Linked DNA regions of Drosophila melanogaster. The protein of the gene in region 1 interacts with the protein of each later gene in a pairwise test. Each region holds a gene or a part of one and is shown in the gene's direction. Other genes may lie near its edges. The genes, in order: Mpc1 and Cyp6v1.

The links.
Region 2: the proteins of Mpc1 (region 1) and Cyp6v1 interact in a two-hybrid assay, tested with the Drosophila melanogaster proteins (one large-scale study listed by BioGRID).

What each region holds. Positions count from the first base shown.
Region 1 is NT_033777.3:18,926,494-18,930,865, reverse strand, and holds Mpc1 (mitochondrial pyruvate carrier), read left to right. Parts: upstream 1-2,206; 5' UTR 2,207-2,477; intron 2,478-2,551; 5' UTR 2,552-2,609; coding exon 2,610-2,671; intron 2,672-2,737; coding exon 2,738-2,838; intron 2,839-3,207; coding exon 3,208-3,368; 3' UTR 3,369-3,870; downstream 3,871-4,372. Other genes in the region: Xrp1, read right to left, coding at 4,362-4,372. UniProt on the Drosophila melanogaster protein: Mediates the uptake of pyruvate into mitochondria.
Region 2 is NC_004354.4:20,655,288-20,662,079, forward strand, and holds Cyp6v1 (cytochrome P450 6v1), read left to right. Parts: upstream 1-1,834; 5' UTR 1,835-2,015; exon of another isoform or gene 2,016-2,241; 5' UTR 2,242-3,125; coding exon 3,126-3,593; intron 3,594-4,537; coding exon 4,538-5,356; intron 5,357-5,690; coding exon 5,691-5,966; 3' UTR 5,967-6,138; downstream 6,139-6,792. UniProt on the Drosophila melanogaster protein: May be involved in the metabolism of insect hormones and in the breakdown of synthetic insecticides.

The sequences.
Region 1 (4,372 bases):
TTAGCTCTCGGACACTTTAACAACATAGTACGGAGTACACAGTCGCACTGGATTAGTGCGCTTAAGTGCGCTTAAGAGGAGCCTTTTTAGCTATTTGCCTCCATTTGGCACTTATTCAATTGAGGCATTTTGGGGACATTTCGAAGATGCCAAGATGCGCCACCAGGAGCGAGTAATTATGTCCGGCAAATCTCGCCCAGGAAAACACAAGTGTCCAGCTAACGACAAAGACCTTCAAGGGCCGCTAAGTAGGTCGTCCTATATGGTTGGTCTACATGTATATTTGCTATACCCCAAACAGAGTGTTTGTTTCATACATCTTTTCTTTTACGTGTTTCACCTTTTGCTTTACGAATGAAATCATTTACCATTCTTGGTCTTTTGGGATTTAATATTGAATCCTAATTCTAATTATTTTATATAAATCGCTTTAATGTTAGTTGAGCACAAGTTTTAGTATGTCTTTATTTTACACCCATTTCACATAGTTACTTCCGCTACTTAGAAAACTGGTAAAAATCCCTTTAAAAAAATTCACAAATCTGGTTGCTTTGTGTTTCCCTTTCTTTGATTTTCAATTATATTTCTCGCTTTTCTTTGTCTGTTGTTGTGGTTGCTCTTTCTTGCTTTTCCCCATTTTCACGCTTCTTCTTGCTTCTGCTCTTGTTTTTGTTGATAAATTCGGATTTTTTGGGAGCGGCTCATTTGGTTTTCTCTTAAACTTTTCCTTTTTTCTCGCGTGGAAAAACATTTTTGGCAGACTTACTGGGGAAAATGTACGAAAATTTCATGCTTACTAGCAACAAATGTGGGAATACAAAAAAAAGTGACCATTATGTGTAGGATTGATTTTTCTTCAAATGGTTTTTCTTTTCAGGTTTTACTGAACTGAAGCTGCGGCAACTGATGACGCGTAGTCAACATTTAAAAATTTAAAGAAGCAAAATCTGTCTTTGTTTTGGCAATTCTTGGAGTTGGTTTCTTTGGGCATAATTTGAATTTTCTTTAGCTTTCCCAAGCACCGCACATGGAAAATGCTTGCAAAATGGCACACTGACCACATATAAACACTCGCACGCACGCACACACACAGCACACAAACGCACACATACACACACAGACACACACGGGGATTACAAGTTGGCAGAACAGTGGCAGCGAAGTCAGCAGCGGCATCGACTGCCAACACAATTTCCATTTGCCTATTCCGCTTTTTCACTTTGTTGTTGTTGTTGTTGTTATTTGGCCAGAGGATGTGGTGTGTTGTTGGTGCCAGGATTCCTTCGATAAGGACTATTTACCGAGCCAAGTTTCCTTTGAGCCGCCGTCGCTCTCGAGTCGCAAATTCACACTGAGCCGGAGTTTTGGATTCGGTTTTGGATGCTGGTTGCTTCGCACTCGGATGCTGCTGGTTGTGCTGCTTTGGTCTTCTGCCGCCGCGGCCAAGGACTCAGGCGCAGGCTGTCGGCGCAGAAACCATCGCCCCAATTCTCTTCGCCTTGGTCCTTTTAAGAGAGCCGGAAGAGCGCGTATTAAGTGAAGAGCGGAAGCGCGTGGTGGATTAACCACTTGAAAACCGTGGCGCCCGCACTTCAGCAAATGCGTTGCAAATGCACACATTACGTCCACTTGTAATTAGCGGGCTTAATGCACATCAAGCATCCGCTTTTCGGCGGATATAGGGAGGGAAGTCCCTGCGACAAGCCTATCGAGATTGCAAATCGAGTCGAGTGTTGCAGCGATCAGTATATGCCTGACACCGATCAAGCGCTTCAATGACTTTCAACGATAGTGTAATATATCGGTATAACTTACAGGATTTTAAATGAAAAAGCAACAAGATTAAACTCGTTTTAGAATAGCAATTAAATGTTTAATTTTCGATTGACTTTATAAATATTTAAGTTAATATTAATAATGTAATATAAATATCAATATACTAGATTTCTTGATATTTATGCGTAGAGCTTTGAAAGCATTGTATTGTTTTACACTGTTTACAATGCTAGAATATTTTTTTGTTATAAATATTTTATTAATAAAAGTCTTAGCATAGTGCCTGGGCACAAATTTGCCCAACTAAAATATTGCTGAAGGTTATGTTAACCACTTTTCAAAAAAAGATTTAAAACCTATCGCATTCGCTTCATTCGACGTCCATCTCTAAGTGTGACCCTTGGATGTGGCGATTGTACGGGCTATCGATAACTCCGACGCGACAGCGACGCGGCAGAGAAAACTCGTTGATGCCTTTCGTTTGACTAATTTTATATAACTTTCGGAGTGACAACACGGCCGACACATAAACAAAAAATATATCCTAGCTTGTGAATATTTAGGCACACACTTCACACACCTGCAACGCGGCCTGCAGTTCCAAATTCTTCGTGTTTTCGATCAAGGTGTTCCAGGCGGTAAACAAACAACAGCAACAACAGCTGGCACCACAAAAACAACAACAACACGGCGAACAACCTGTAAGACCTTGAGGGGATTTTTTTCGGATTTATATTGCGCGGCAATGGCAATCTAATCTAAATTATTCCACCAGGTGCGCTTCTGATTAACATTTCTGGTCAGATATATTCAATTAGCAAAGCGGTAGCATCATGTCGATCAGGAGAGCTATGTCCACAACGGCCTCAAAGGAGTGGCGGGATTACTTTATGAGGTCTGTTTGTTGGTTATCAATTGGCCTTATATGACTTATTGTAAATATTGCTTTTTATATCCACAGTACCCACTTCTGGGGCCCGGTGGCCAACTGGGGTATTCCGGTGGCTGCTCTCGCCGACACACAAAAGAGTCCCAAATTCATCTCCGGCAAAATGACATTGGGTAAGGATATCCCCCCTTGGGTTTTGGCCTCCATCTGGCATCCATACACGCGCGACTGGCATCGAAAGTTTTCGCTTAAGATGTCGTAATCAGAGCCGCTGTGATATGTTCTAAACAAATCACTCTATAATGCCTGATAAGCCAGATACGGAAACTGTCGAAACGTCTGCCGATAAGATTGCACAGAGAAAAAACTAAGCACAATTTGTCCATTTTACTCCATAATCCGATTCCATCGGAATAAGATGCCAGCGAGGCAATATGCACATAATGTAATGGAAATTATGACAAATTTTGCTTATAATTTGTCCTGTGCCTTTGCCTATGTAAATAAGTCTCCCAGAAATGCTTATCCTCGATCTTTTCCAGCTCTGACCCTGTACTCGTGCATCTTTATGCGATTTGCCTACAAGGTCCAGCCCAGGAATTGGCTGCTCTTCGCCTGCCACGCTACCAATGCCACCGCCCAATCGATCCAGGGTCTTCGCTTCCTTCACTACAATTACGGGTCTAAGGAGCAGCAGGCGTAAATGTAATCCTTGCCCCGAAATCCACTTCCCCGAGACGCGACGCGCGAAGCCACTTCAAATGTTTACCCAACAGCAGCAGCTATCGCAATTTACTGCCACCACACGCAACGAAGATCTAGCAAATTGCACTGCCGCAATCCCATTCAAATCAAATCCAAGTGGTGGAGTAATTGCCGTGAATCACACCCGCACAATCGGCTGAATCTCGAATCGCGAAGTTGTCGTGCCCCAGTAGCCGTTTTCGCTGGGGTCAAATTCCAATTCCAATTGAGTCTATACCCAACTTGTTACTTTGCCCATTTAGTTAATTCCGTTAGGCAGTTGATCAAAATTTTAAGTCGGTGCAATGCTTAGATTACGATTATATGAATATGGTTTAAAATCCAATAAAAGATATCAAAATCTAATTTTGTCTAGTGTCTGTCAATACAAAATGGTTGTAATAAAATTGTAACATTTAATCATTAAAATGAAGAACGTTATAGAACCCATTCAAATATACAAAGTTAGTTGATTTTGTCACGTTTATTGAAACATGCTTTTTATTCAAACAATTACGGTTATATAAGTTGATATCTGTAAAATATACATTTCAATTGTTCTTAACAATAGCATATTTTTTTGTTGACATTTTTTAAACTTTTTTTTGTTCATCAATGGGGTTAAAACATACGAACTCGTAATCATTTTTTTGTTGTGCTTTTTTTTTTTTTGATTACGCTTTGGACGAAAAACATATCCGTGGGTATAAAAATTTTTTAGTTTTCTCAAACATAATAAAAGTAAAATTAAAGTTAAACACTCCTCGCGCACTATGGGCGCCATCACTATGCCTAATAAGTGGCTTAACTGATGTCCACATGGAAATGGAAATTTGATTTCTGCTTCTCGACTTCTTCAACGACAACTTAACTAACTAAACAATTGGATGACGACGATAGGTACTATGACAGGCTTATGCTCCGCAATTTCTATTCTATGGCTACGAGAATCTCAGTCCTGCT
Region 2 (6,792 bases), on another chromosome or scaffold:
CGACACTCTGTAGGTTGCTGGTGTTGCATCCGCAGAGGTTTCACCGTACGTCCCACCCTGGAAAAACGCAAATCGAACTGCAGCGCGTGATTTTCGGAAGGTAAGGCCCGGAAAGTCTCGAAATCGAAATCGCCCGCCCAGAGCCACGCCCCTTTGTCAGTTGGCGGAAAACCCTTTCTGTGCGGTCGTGCGTGAAATTTAATCAAAGCAAGACTTAACCCCACGACGCCCCCCATACCAATCGGCGTCCCCTTAACCCCCATGTGAGCCATCAATGTGGCCAACAGTTTTCGGTGTCCCAAAAGTAGACGACATACAAACAACCGGAAATGTTGCACATTTGTAACTTCAGCACACTTTTCCAGAAGGAGTTGAGCGTGTGGGAAAAGTCGGAAAACTGCTCAACAGGGGACTGAGGAGTGGACGTGAAAGTTTTCCATCCGCAGCAAGTGCAAATTTCTGTCAATTGTTGTAAATGGAGTTTCCTTTCTCCTCCGAGCAGCAATTTGTTTGGTAGTGTTTAATTTTTTTACCCAAAATCAGGGGAAAGTAGTTCAATACTGGCCTCACAACAAACTGTTTTCGGGATTCACGAAAATTCAAAGTTTTAATTTCCGATAAGCAACATTTGTTGATGTTTTCGTTTGTTATAAAATAAATTTTAAGCAATAAAAAACAAAAGATACAAGCACACATAAAAGTACTTATTAACTGTAGTTAGTACTAGTTAGTTAACTTAATAATAACACGGCAAAGTTGTTAAGTTATCAGGTAGATAAGTTATACCAAAACCTATCATACTCCACATTTATTTAATTTTGTGCCAGCTTTTTGATTTGGCGCCCACTTTGCACAGGGATGCCTCCTTCGTTAGTTATCGATATTCCCTTGCAAACAGAAGAATACGCGAAAATCAAATCAGCTGAACCGCAACAACAAATGCACGTAACAGAGAAAAAACGAAAAGCAGAGGCAACGAATGGCAGAGGACAGCCAAAACGTTTATTTATAAATCATCACAGGCGACAAGAAATAAGTAATCGAAAAGAACACAATAAAAGCTAGAATGAAAAGCCCTAACAACGAGAAGTGACCATTGTCTTTGTCTTGTACTGCACCCGCTAACAAAAACAAATTTACGCTCTCTTCGCTCTCTTTGTTTTCATCGAAAGATTCGCGGTCACCGTCGCGTCACGTCATTGTTGTTGTTTTGCAGTTTCGCTTTTAATCGTCACTTTTATTTGCGGTCTACTTTGCGCTTTGGCATCTTTCTGTCACCAACAGTGGGACAAACCGAAAGCGCTGGCTCACACGTTGAATAAAAATATACATACATATTTCTAGTAGTTTTTCTGAATATGACTAAAACACAACACAACTTCAATAAATTAGGAATTAAATGTATGAATAAAACGAAATATACATACAATTGCAGTTGTTTTATTAGATATTCCAGCTAAACATTAGAACTAAGCCAAAGATAATTTTTTTGTGATGCATTGCTGTGGGATGTTATTAATTGGACGAAATCACATTTGACCATCACATTGATCGCATCACATACAAATTCAATTATTTTAAGACTTTTTAAAATTAATTTAAAAAATATGGATTTTTGTCATGTATGTAGTTGCTGTGGGGTCGCTGTGCATTCGATTACCTGGACGAAACCGCATTTGACCACCCCTCGCTAAAATGAGTTTCACTGTGCGAACTAGAACATGTGCCTCATGACATGACTGTTCAAATTCTTCGCAAAGCTCTCTTTTTGCGCTCTCTTCTGTATCTGTGTACTATCCCGCCGAAAGATCTCTCCCTCTCTCTTTTGTCTCCCGCAAACTTGCGGTTAATAAAATAAAGCACAAAAGAACAGCATACGTTGATGGGGGCGTCGTCGCCGCTCTGTCGACGTCGCTGCCTTCGTGGGGCTTTGGTCGTTGACGTAGCGTCAGTTAAAAAGCGTCGCTTGGTGGAGCTAGCAAGCGATTTTATTTATATTTTTAGACTTATTTTCTGTAATTCGCTATTTGTAAATTGTATTCGCGGTTTTTTCGCATTTCTCTTGCGACTTCTCTTTCTATCCCTCTCTCTGTGTCTTTCTGCGCGGTGCTCTTCTTCTTTTCGTTCGGCGTGGCTATTTCTTCTTTCGCCTCTTCCATTTGTTGTTGACGTCGCGTTGTTGTGCATTTAATTCTTCATTGTGGTCTGTTTTAGTCATTTTTTTTACATATTTTTTTGTAGTTGTCGTTTCAAATGTGATATAATTAGTTAAGTATTTATTTATAAAACACGCGACGCCGAGAAAAGCCAGAAAGCCCGATAAAGGGACATTGAGGATTGCTAACAAAACAACAACTACAACGATTGGCGGAAAAGAGAGCAACGCAAAGGAGCTACAAAAACAACAAAGACAAAGAGAATCAACAAATAACGGCAAAGCCCCACGCGGAGGAGCGCCAAAACGATAAGAAAAAAGTAGAGCTAAAGCAAAAGCAGAAACAGAAACAACCATAAAACAACGGAAAATGCAGAATATTATTAAACCGCGCAGATAAAATAAAATTTGTCAACCACATTGTTCGAAAGCCCCGACTAAATAAATTGAAAACAAAACTTGAAGAAAGACTATCGGACGATCTTCGAAGAAGAAATATTGCTGGGAAAATAGAACGCTCTTAAGAGAAATGAAATCAGCGAAGTTCAAATAGATTTCCAACAGGAGTTAGAAATGAATTGGATAAATTAAAGATCTCTGTGCAACTAAAAAACACATCAGAAATACGAAGAAATCAAAGAAGCATCATTACAAAAAAAAAAAAAAAATACTATTGAATTTTCACTGAATAAATACATTTAAAAGCTCTTTAGTACTTTATATATATATGAAATCAGAGAACAACTAATAACTTTAGCTTAAAAAACATAGCAAGTTAACTACGGTCGTATAAAAAATACCATATCCGGAGTCATTGTGTCTTACAACAAACAGACGATCAAAACAAAAGCGAAGAGGTCACAACTGCTGGAATAATCTGAAATCTTAGATCGGTCAATCCAAGGCACTATCCGCATATCCCTCCACGATTCAGCCACCGCTGGACCTGACTGCGGATCCCGAGTGCGAGATGGTGTACTCCACGAACATCCTGCTGGCGATAGTGACGATCCTGACGGGCGTGTTCATCTGGTCCCGGCGCACCTACGTCTACTGGCAGCGCCGGCGGGTGAAGTTCGTCCAGCCGACCCACCTGCTGGGCAACCTGAGCCGGGTGCTCCGACTGGAGGAGTCCTTTGCTCTCCAGTTGCGCCGCTTCTACTTCGACGAGCGGTTTCGCAACGAGCCCGTCGTGGGTATCTATCTGTTCCACCAGCCAGCCCTGCTTATCCGCGATCTCCAGCTGGTCCGCACCGTTCTGGTTGAGGATTTCGTCAGCTTCTCCAACCGATTCGCCAAGTGCGACGGGCGCAGCGATAAAATGGGCGCCTTATCGCTATTTTTGGCCAAACAACCCGAATGGCGCGAGATCCGCACCCGTTTAGCACCAGCCTTCGCTGGCGCCAAGCTGAAACAGATGTTCTCGCTGATGGAGGAGGTGAGTCACTCAACCAGCCGGGTCCAAGTTGCAAACTCCCGCTCCCAGGTCCACGACACACGTTCGGAACTCTTACACCGACCAACACAACACACATTTCCACGCTTAATCGCGGGGCCCGATTGAAGAAAAAAATAACCAACAATACTATTTTACTCTGGTTTGACTTGTAATTACACCGATTCCATTTAAAGATAGGAACTGCCTGTTATTCAAATCGAATTCCATTCCCTTACAATCGAAGTGTTTCGCCGGCATATCGTTTTGGATCATAGCTATATTTTAATATTTCGAGGTGCGGCACTTACACCAAGCTACTGGGTAAAATTATTAAATTCAATTTTTTAGGTTCCATTAAATTTCCTCTTCTGATTGTAATGTTTCCAATTTTGATCAATGAGTTACGAAATGGCATATCTTATATTATTGATTATTAATGATAAAAGAACCTCTCTAACGGGCCATGTTGCTATCTGGGGCTTATCAAATCGAACCTGTTTATTGTTACTGACTTGTTGTATCTTATCAAAGGTCACCACCAACTACGGCATTACTACGAAAAAAAAACCATAACGTTTATAGCTCAAGACTTTAGCTCTCCTCTGCTTAGTTTGTTGCCTAGTCGAACCAAAAGTTCTATGCAAATTAATGCTAAGAAATCACAAACTGTGTGCGTTTCAGTAAAACAAATCGAATTTACTAATCATTGTGATAATGCAAATTCCCATGACAAAGCTGAAACTCATGTCCAAACGGTTGACAAGTCTCTAAGGTTTTTCTGTTGTATATCTGTTATGCAAATATCAAGAATCACATCGAGGCACTAATGAAACAAACACTTAATGAAACACTGATTAGCTCTAGCAGCAACATTTGGATACCTATTTATTGATTAACAATCCGTTTGCTCTGTGCTCCTTGTGGGATGTTCTATATCTCCGTAGATCGGCTGCGACTTGGAGTGGTATCTGAAGCGTCTGACTCGAGATCTTAGACGCGGCGACGCGGAGCGAGGGGCGATTGTGAGCATCAAGGACGTGTGTGATCTGTACAACACCGACATGATAGCCAGCATCGCATTCGGACTGAGATCGTACAGCCTGAGGAACACGCAATCGGAGATCGGCTCACATTGTCAGGACCTGTTTCGGCCGAATGTGCGTCGAATAATCGACTTGTTTGTGATCTTTTACCTGCCAAAACTGGTGCCGCTGCTGCGGCCCAAACTTTTCACGGAGCCGCATGCGGAATTCCTGCGCCGAGTCATCCAGCTGGTGATCGAGGAGCGGGAGCGTGGCGGTGATCTGCGCAACGATCTCATCGAGATGCTGCTGACGCTCAAGAAGGAGGCGGATCTGCAGCAGGACAAGTCGCACTTCACGCACCATCGGGACTTCTTGGCCGCTCAGGCGGCATCCTTTGAGGTGGCCGGCATTGAGACCTGCTCGGCGAGCATGTCCTTCGCCCTCTACGAGTTGGCCAAACAACCCCTGATGCAGTCGCGCCTGCGCCGCGAAATACGTGAGGCTTTCGCCAGCAATCCCAATGGGAGGCTCACCTACGAGGCCGTCGCCCGCATGGAGTTTCTCGACATGGTCGTGGAGGAGACTCTGCGCAAGTATCCAATTGTGCCACTCTTGGAGCGCGAGTGCACGCCGATTAACAAGAAGCGCTTCTACTCGCTGAGGCCACACGCCGAGTGCTACACCCGCCGTGGGATGCCCGTGTTCATATCCAATCTGGCCATACATCACGATCCTAAGGTGAGTGCGCAGTTGCATTTAACACATTCCCATAACTGCAAAACTGCAAGTGTTGTTCAGCTCAATCAGTAGTTTGATTCATAGAGCGATCGAGCTAGGAAAGTTTCGGGCATTCTGATATCGAACAGACAAGTATCTGTATTAGTTCCTAACGAGTTCCTATTTCTATGCATAATATGCATGAAACATATCCTTATACCAAAGAAGCTTTTAACTTGTATCGGATATTTAACATGAACAAATTGGGGGAATGATTTATGTTTAATCATAAAGAGTAGTTAAAGTAATATTTCTGTCTAGAAGAGCGTTATTCATTGGGCTATTTCCTTTGCAGTACTGGCCGGACCCGGACCGATTCGACCCGGAGCGCTTTAGTGCGGCGAACAAGGCGCTGCAGGCGCCCATGTCCTACATGCCCTTTGGGGCGGGGCCGCGCAATTGCATCGGGATGCAAATCGGACTGCTGCAGATAAAGCTGGGCCTCGTTTACTTCTTGCACCAACATCGCGTCGAGATTTGCGACCGCACCGTGGAGCGGATTCAATTCGACGCCAAGTTCGCGCTGCTAGCCAGTGAGCAACGCATATACCTCAAGGTCGACTGCTTATAGCCGCCGATCCCATCCAATATCAGCAGCATTACGCTATGGGTTCCTGAAGGGCGGGAGCAGAGCCCCATCGTCATTGTTTTTGTAAATATTTCGGCATGCCTCAAATAAACTTTGCTACGATCTTTTTTTTCTAATCATTAATACAGCTGGCTTGTTTTATGATCTATTTGCGAATTTTAGAAGTACATAGAGCTATTTATTATTATAAGGTGTGTGCAGTACTATGAATTCTCTTTAGAGATATTAGCAGTAGAAAAAAATTTGCAAATTATTCTCAAAAGTATTTTCTCCTCCCACTCGAATTTAAAAATGCTCCATATGCATCATATTAACCTCATTTCATGGGTTAATATCGCTCTCATCTCGTTCGCCATTATTCCAAAGGTGTTGTGGGGGAATAGTGGAGGATCATCGGACTCCATTGAGAGGGAGCAGTGCCCCCGATCTTGCTTTTATTTTTTATGGTCCCGATTTTCTCCACATGCCACCTCAGCGAACTCGAATTTATATTTATTGGCAGGGGGTCGACGGGGGAGGGTCCATTGCGTTCCGTTTCGTTTCGTTTCGTATTGCTGATAACTTATCAGTCAGCCGGGTCTCGGAGGCCTTTGCCCGGTGGCCTGATCGCTTCTATTCTGATTCGGATTCAGTTTCGTATTTCGGTCTCAGATTCGATGGGCTGGCCGCCTACGTCACTGCCATCGCACACTGGAGAGCTTCGGAAGCAAAGTTCAGGTTTCTGGGCGTCTAGAGTTCTAGTGGATTAGAGTGGACCGCAAAAGTGCTCAATAAGTTGCACGTAACATCGTTTAGTTGACTGGCACTT